Drosophila melanogaster: one gene and its partner. The protein of the gene in region 1 interacts with the protein of each later gene in a pairwise test. Each region holds a gene or a part of one and is shown on either strand. Other genes may lie near its edges.

Region 1 (3,924 bases):
AGGCCCACTGCCTGGGCTCGCCCATGGGTGAGAGGTGCGTGAGACGACCCTCCTGGGCCAGCGGCACAAAGTCCTGCTCGTCCTTCTTGTCGCGATGTGGGCAAAGCCGAATGGCCAGGCGGCGGTAGGCCAGAGTAATCTGCTCCTTGGTGGCGCCTCTGGGCTGATCCAGCACCGCGTAGTAGTCCAGCTCCGGCCGGTTCATTGTTTCTATTCGGAGTCGAAGCGTATAACAACTGGCAGAAGTGTTCACAGAATGTTTGACGTGTGACTGAGAATTTATTCAAATTATATACAATAACTCAACTGACGCAGGATCTGGCTATGGATGAAATATGCTTGTGGACAAATACATTAAGATTAGAGCTATGGTGTAGATGGAAACGTGGCGGCGATCAGTCAACGTCCTCGGTGCTGACGCCAGTGTAGATGGGCTCCTCCTTGGCTGCACTCTCTGATTTGGCATCGTCGGTCTTCTCCTCGCCACCGGCGACGTCATCCGAGTCATCTTCCTCCTTCTTGTCACCCTCCAAGTCAGCGGCATTGGGCACCCAGAGACCAGAGTCCACACAACGCTTCATGTGCAGCTTGGCGACGTCCACGGGCATGGCCGCAATGGTCTTCTGCAGCAGCTCTACGTCGCGGGACTCGAAACAGGCCTTTAGTTCCTGCGGAGCAAATACATGAAAAGTTAGTCAAGTAATTCCCATACAGTGAATCACTAGAACGTACATCGGGCAGGGATTCAAAGACATCGGCTGGGTCCAGACCACCAGGTCCGAGGCGCTCCTTGCGCTCCTCCTCTTCGGCCTGGGCTATCGCCTCCTGGATCTTCTCCTGCGCACGCTTCTGGATACGTCCTTTGAAACCTTCGATCTCGCTGTCGAACTGCGCGCGGTACTCGGGATGACAGTGCTGGATCTTTGAGAAGAAGGAGCTGACACAGGCGCGAGGATCCACGTCCAGCTGTTTGGCCAACTCTAGAATGTACTGCATGCAAATGCACTGATGCGCCACGTGGGCCATCAGCTCGTGCTTCTCCTCCATTTCCAGGTTGATGGACCAAATGACTAGGTAGTTGGCCGTCTCCTCGCCCACCAAGTGAAGATGCTCCTGCAGAAACCGCTTCGAATCGTCGTACTTGCGCAGCATGCCATACTGCTGGCAGAGCTTCTCGTTCTCCTTGACGAATTGCTTCATGCGCTGCTCTCGCTCTTCCTCGGACAGATTCTCATCCGGCTTGCGGCCGGCCTTCTTGTTGATTACGGTCTTCTCAAAGCCGGGCTTGCTGATGGTGTCCACGTTCCAGGGTGTTTTCTTTTCCTTCTTAATCATCTCGCTCTCGATGCGGTCCAGCTCTTTGCCCTCGGCCTCGATCTTTTCGAGCTCTTTCTGTAGGCGATACAAATTAGGGATTAAGCATTGCGATGAAAGATGGATGGCCACTTAGGATGATAGTCAATCATAAGCTTGACAATAAGAATAAATTAGATGGATTGAGAACATAGGGAACTCCCAGACCAGGCATTAGCCTAAGCAACAAGTGCGCAGTGCATTCGGTGCAATGACCCACCTTCAGGGCCTCCTCGTCGCCATCCTTCTTTGAGATCCGCTCCTTGACGTCCATGAGGCGCGCCTGGTAGCTCTGGCGCTTTTTCTTAAGCTCGTCCTTCTCGTGGTCCATCTCCGCCATGCGCTCCACGCGCGCCTGGTGCCGCCAGCGGAACAGAGAAGGCGTGTCTATGTTTGGGTGAGTGTCGTCCTCATCATCCGAAATCTAAAAGGTAGTGTGCCGATTAGGAGGACTTTTTGGGTTGGCACCCAGCAGTGGGCTCACCTCGATGTTCTTCCACTTGCTGTAGTCCACCATTTTGCTGTTTCTTTGCTTCGGATTTATATTTGAATGTAAATGCTGCAGGTTTTTGTTCTTTTTCGGCTGCTTCCTTTTTTTGGATTGCTCTGGAAATTAGTGTGACCGCAGGGCTATTGCGGAATAATACCATAATAAGCCCCGCTTACTCTGGGGCCGCGCTAGGAAATAGTAGTCATGCATGAGTGCACCAGATTGAATTGAAATACCCTGTCGTTTTTAATTTATTTACATCATCTACTACTACTCATCTACATCTACTAGAAAAATAATGAGATGACTAAGGCGCCAAAGCGACCAGAAAGAGAACTATGTTTATAATCGATTGACATCGATAGAAATCGCGATATTGATGTCAATGTTCTGCGCCAATCGGCCGACATATTGAAAAAAACTGCGGTCCCGTGAAATAGAGGCGCTCCGTGAAAATTACGAATAACTACTGCAAATCAATAGTTAAATTAACAAAGTAACTGTGAACAAATAGATTGCCATCAAAGTGTAAGTTTCTACATAGTTTTCGTCCGTAGCTCACTGTTAGTTGGGTTCAAAATGCAATTGAAATTCGGTGTGCGTGCAAAGTGAAAATTTTTCGGGTCAACGCCACACCCTCGAAGGCAACACAAAAATCCAATTAACGGGGCTAAAGTGAGAGAAAAGTCTTGGCCATAACTGAAAAGCTATGCTGTGCAATGTCACTGCTTGATTAGTAATAGAAATTTTGAATTTCTTTCAAAATTCTTGACTCCAATTGCAACTTAAGAAAAAGTATCTGGTGCTCCTGTTGTGCATGTGTGTGTGCGGTTACGCAGGAGTAGAGAACGCTGTGTGTGTGTACGTCATCGGGTGGTGGTGGTGGTGCGGCAACTTCAGATGAGAGAAAGCGGGAGAGCACACTCTCCCTCTCTTTGCTTGTTTGTGTTTCCAAGATATTTAAGTACGAATAAAAAAAAAGCAAAGTGCTTGCCTTACATATGCCAAAGTTTTGGGTGGGCAAGTGTCCTTGACTTTCTTGAAGGCCTGTGTTTGCATAGGATATTTTTGTTTGCTTGCCAGGCGATTCCGTGTTCGTAGTAGTCTTGCGTACCAGTTGATTTTTTGTGCCTCTTCATTGATTGCTCATAATTCCAAAGCGTACGCATTACGTCATCCTCTGCTATTTTCTGATAGACACTTCAATTAATGTTTCGCTCTCTCCGTCTCTTTCTATTCGCTCTCTTTTTGAGGTGCGATCTCTCGCAATTGCCGTTTCTGATGTTGTTTTTGTTTGCCACCGCGATAAACAGTTAAATTGGCCTGCCTGTGTGTTTGTATGTGAGCTCCAACATTGTATGGCTGCCAAGCCCTGGGCTGTTGCCATCTCCCTCTGATTTATTTCAATTTCCTGTGGCAAAGAGTGTTGTTTGTTTGTTTCTCTGCATGCTGACCCACCCTCTCCCCTAAATGATGTCATTGCTTGCTCTGCTGACCCCTTCTAAAGGGGCGATTTTGAAGTATTAAGTATTAAAATCCGGACATTCCACGGATTTCCTTATCGTTAGTGCTAATTGTATTTCATGTTACTCTATTGACAAAAATTCACTCCTTGGCTTTTCTCTATTAATCATTCTTGGCCAATCTTAACTATTTTACCTTCTGTGTAGTGTAGCTGAGAATTTCAGATATTTCTCTGCTTTTCTTATCTGAGTTGTTTTTTTTTTTTTTTTAGCACTAAAAATTGGAAACTATTAGAAATGTGATTTTATGGGCTATCAACTAAGTTTGGAAATTAAAATAAATGATATCTTATAAGAATTCATAGAAAATATTTATACTTTAACAACAAAAAATTGTTGATGCAATATTTAGATACTTTTAGAAACCTACTATTCTTTTATTGTTAAGGTTAATACCTTTACAAATTTGTTTAGCATACATGTGCGTTTTTCCAAACCTGACCTACAAATATATTCCTCATAATTTCCCGCCTAACTATAACCTTATTACAACTTTTAGTACAGGTGATGAAGTCATCACAACTCGTAGCATTTTACGTGTCGTTTACGTTGATTTAG
Region 2 (3,924 bases), on another chromosome or scaffold:
CGCTAATGTATGTACAGTGCAACTCGGTCATATATGAAAGATAAAAATTATGCTATTTCAAGCGAAATTAATCATGACCAAACTGGGTAAACAGTTTATTAAAAAACTGAGTAATGTTTCTGATCCCAAAATATATTCTTTGACTAAGTGAGGCTAGAGTTCTAAATTATTGAAAGAAACTTGTATTACTATAGAAATTCCCCCAAATAAATATATAAATGCACTGATAAGTGCACTTGATTTCGTGGACTTTAAACTACTGGGAAGCACCGTATTATCGCCTATTAATTTTCTCCATAATTTGCGACTGCCACGGCTGTGTGCGTGTGTGTTTCCCTGTACTTTTTCGTACACACTCAGCACCGATTGCTGGTCATCCATAACTTTGATAGCAAACACCCCGCTACACAATAGATTGTATAATAATGTTGCCATGTGAGTCATCGGCTCAACGCGAAAAAGAAAACGGCAAGTGAATTCGGTTTCAATTGTTGAATGGCTATTGCATATTGATTGTGTGCAGGAAGCAACATGGCCGATATGGCGATACACAAGCCCACAAATAAGTTATTTTGTTATATATCGTCAGAACTGAAATCTCAATGCTTTAATGACTTCTTCGCTTTGCTTATCGGCATGCTGATAACTACCATGATTTTCTCGCTGTGTACCGTTCGCGATTTCTCTTTTGCTAGCGTTTTCACTACATTAATTAACCGAGAACACGTGAGCAAGTGCAGCTTGTTGTTTACCATTAGTGTCTACTCATCAGATTCTGTGACCGGATTGAAATCGATTTGGAAGGGCTTTGCATGGATCTGAATGGGACACAGTTCTCCGATCAATTAGCACGCACTTTCCGGCTCATTTCGCCTATCATTCGAGCGCTTATCAGTGGGCCGATGAACAAAGGGAAGCTATCTGGTGGGGCAGCCGGAGCGCGAGCCAAGCGAAGTAATCAGCAACAGCTGTCAATAAGCCTAGAATGCACTTCTCGCTCGATGGATGGGGAGGGGTGGTGGAGGGAGGGGAACTTGAACTTCCTTGAATTATCGACCGCAGGGCTTAGTCACCCACACAGCGCCACTATGCTACAGTACACACATATATATGTGTAGATATATATTTATTCGTGGTCATGTAACGCACGCCAGAAAGAAGGTAACTACCTCTCCCACTCCCACTCCTTCTGTGGGTGGGCGTGTGTGTGTTTGTGTGTGTGCGCTTGTAATTGAGGCAAAGGTCGCGACTTCCGTCCCGCTCGCACTCGCTGCCGCCGCTCTACCGCTGGCGAATTCCAATGCAAGAGGCGTTCCTTTTTGTTTTTAGCAATTTCTGGGGGTTTCTCCTCCTCCGTTTTCCTTTCCTTTCTACCTGTGTCTTACCTTCTGCTGCTTCTTCTTCTGCCTCTGGTGCTCCTACAACTTGCGCCTGTGTGTGTGGTTGTTGTCTCCTGTGTGCGGCTGCATGTGCGAGTGTGTGTGCGGGATTCTTAACTGGGTTTCCCGGGCCCCAAAATTGATGGCTGGATTATTGCACTAGTTGGCGCTGCCGCCCTCGCTTTGGTCCACGTAATCGCGAGCAGTTGATATCGCTGCACTAATTGTTTATTTGTTATTTTGCTTCGCTTGCAAGCAGCAATTTCTAGAGCTGCAACTTTGGACGATGTTTTTCGATACAACTGATGTGGCCACTCAGTGCGCGAATCGATAGGTTGAATTCAATTGGCGAGGCTTGTTATGCACGCTAGACTGGGTTGGCGTACTCGCTATATTGCCAACTTACATGTTCAACCAGAGTTGCCGTACAAGCTCAAAATGGAGTAGCCAACCAGATTTGAAAATGACCGCGAATAGGAATTAGGAATAAAAATAAGAACGTATTGCCCGTAGTCACAACAAAACAAAGGTAAATAATTAGCCAAAAAGTTATGCACCAGCTAGTACTTCTGGCCCCTCTGATTTTATTGGAATCTAAGCTTATTACTCCATATAAATTAGAAGCCCCCTGAATATTCATTACTCAGTTGCGTTGCTCATTGAATTTCTTTAAATGTTATTTAATTTTGTGGTGCTATTGAATAAATATAAAAGCGCGGATTCAGTTCATCGAATAACATAGTGTTTGGCAGTAAAAAGTGCTTACAATGCTAAAATCCGCAAGTGCTTTGCTATGTGGTCTTCTTGCTTTAAATTTGTATGGAGCTTGGGCAGAATCCGATGTGATTTGTCCTTTAAAGGACCCTCCTAGTCAATGTGGAGGATTCTGTCTGGGTGTACTTACGCCCGTGTTAAATCACCTGACCATTTCCCAAAATCTGGCGAATTCCAATAATTCAAGCAAGGCTAACGAGGTCCTGGTGAGACAGTACACGATGGAAGGCCAACTGACTGCTCTGCAGAATAAGCAACTAAGCATTGAAGTCGCACTGGATGCCCAAGGCAGAAAACTGAATGTTAACGAACAGAACTTTACTGAACGACTGAATTGCATGGAAGGCATACTGTCGGCCCTGGAGAAAACAGTCCTTGAAGTAAAAACCAAAATAAAATACCTCGGATTCGAGCAAATCGGCTCAAAGTACTATTACATAGAGAAAGTATCCGAGAAGAACTGGTCCACTGCTTCAAAAACTTGTCGCAATATGGGAGGGCACCTGGCCGACATTAAGGACGAGGCAGATCTAGCCGCCATCAAGGCGAATCTCAAGGAGGACACGCATTACTGGCTGGGAATCAATGACTTGGACCACGAGGGAAAATTCTTGTCCATGCCCACGGGCAAGCAGACTACCTTTTTGAAATGGGCCTCGGGGAGACCCTCTCAGTTGGACACCCTCAACTGCGTGTTCCTATACAACGGGGAAATGTACGATTACCCATGCCACTATACTTTCCGGTTCATTTGCCAGACCGAGGAGGAAGATTTAAATGTATGATTTAAATAGAAACCACATGAGAATAATAAAACCTTTGCTGATGCCGTAACACCTGTGATTTTTTATTCAATCCCTCAAGCCTTCATTAGCTTATCTCTATTACTCACTTTATGGTTACTAAATTTACCAGTTTCACGTTATATTGCACTTTTAGACAAACAAACTGCGCACAAAAAGTGAAATTTCCTTGATTCTCCGATCTTTCCAGTAGCACAAAAACTATTTGTTTAAACAATTATTAGCACTCGTTTTAAATACGAGCACTGAGAGCGGAGAGTCCAAGAAAATTCGTCGTATACCATGTTGTTTGTTCGCTTTCGGACTTTTTCACACATTGTCAAGAGTTTCAGAGAACGCGGCTCAAAGTGAAAATTATCAAAATTTAATGTGCCGACCGCTCCGCATCCGCAGTCATTCGTATCGCGGGCTTCGAACGGAGCAGATCGGAACTTACGGCTACGGACTTCGCACTACGGTCGGGAAGGATTACGCGAAGAGGATACGCGAAAAGGATACGCGATGAGGCAGCTGCTGGTTTACGCGTTGGTCGCGGGCTTGTTTTACTTTTCCGAAGGTAAACTCCACCAGCAAGTGTATTGTGCCAGATTTAAATCAGTTTTGGTTTTCCTACTTTCAAAGGAAAGTGTTCATGAATTCATAAACGTAATTCACTGAAGTATCCTAAAAAATAAAAAATGCCTTGAAATGAATAGTTACAATTATTACAAGAAAGTGAATAGCACCTTCCATTGCTTTAAAAATATGTACAAAATGAAACCATGTAGGAAAACCAAAACTTATTATTCGGAAATCTCCGCTAAAGTCGAAGTGCTTTTCCCATGTTAATGTGAACATTACTCCTTTTCCCATTTCCGCACTGGCTTAACGCAGGCAAGCCGTGCCCCGAAAAGACACGCCCCCACAAAACCCGCTGCGACGCCTTCTACAAGTGCCGGGAACTGCCCTCCAACTCGCACGTTTGGATT

Evidence for each region.
Region 2: the proteins of Cdc37 (region 1) and Su(dx) interact in binary tests that used the Drosophila melanogaster proteins (3 or more experiments, as listed by UniProt).

What each region holds. Positions count from the first base shown.
Region 1 is NT_037436.4:1,793,646-1,797,569, reverse strand, and holds Cdc37 (cell division cycle 37), read right to left. Parts: upstream 2,179-3,924; 5' UTR 1,871-2,178; coding exon 1,838-1,870; intron 1,778-1,837; coding exon 1,574-1,777; intron 1,393-1,573; coding exon 733-1,392; intron 717-732; exon of another isoform or gene 669-716; coding exon 396-668; 3' UTR 263-395; downstream 1-262. Other genes in the region: CG12020 (uncharacterized protein), read right to left, coding at 1-205. UniProt on the Drosophila melanogaster protein: Co-chaperone that binds to numerous kinases and promotes their interaction with the Hsp90 complex, resulting in stabilization and promotion of their activity. Required for cytokinesis and chromosome segregation in mitosis and male meiosis.
Region 2 is NT_033779.5:2,035,470-2,039,393, reverse strand, and holds the start of Su(dx) (suppressor of deltex), read right to left. Parts: upstream 1,681-3,924; 5' UTR 1,170-1,680; intron 867-1,169; exon of another isoform or gene 753-866; intron 1-752. Other genes in the region: lectin-22C, read left to right, coding at 2,147-2,938; CG42296 (uncharacterized protein), read left to right, coding at 3,458-3,512, 3,830-3,924.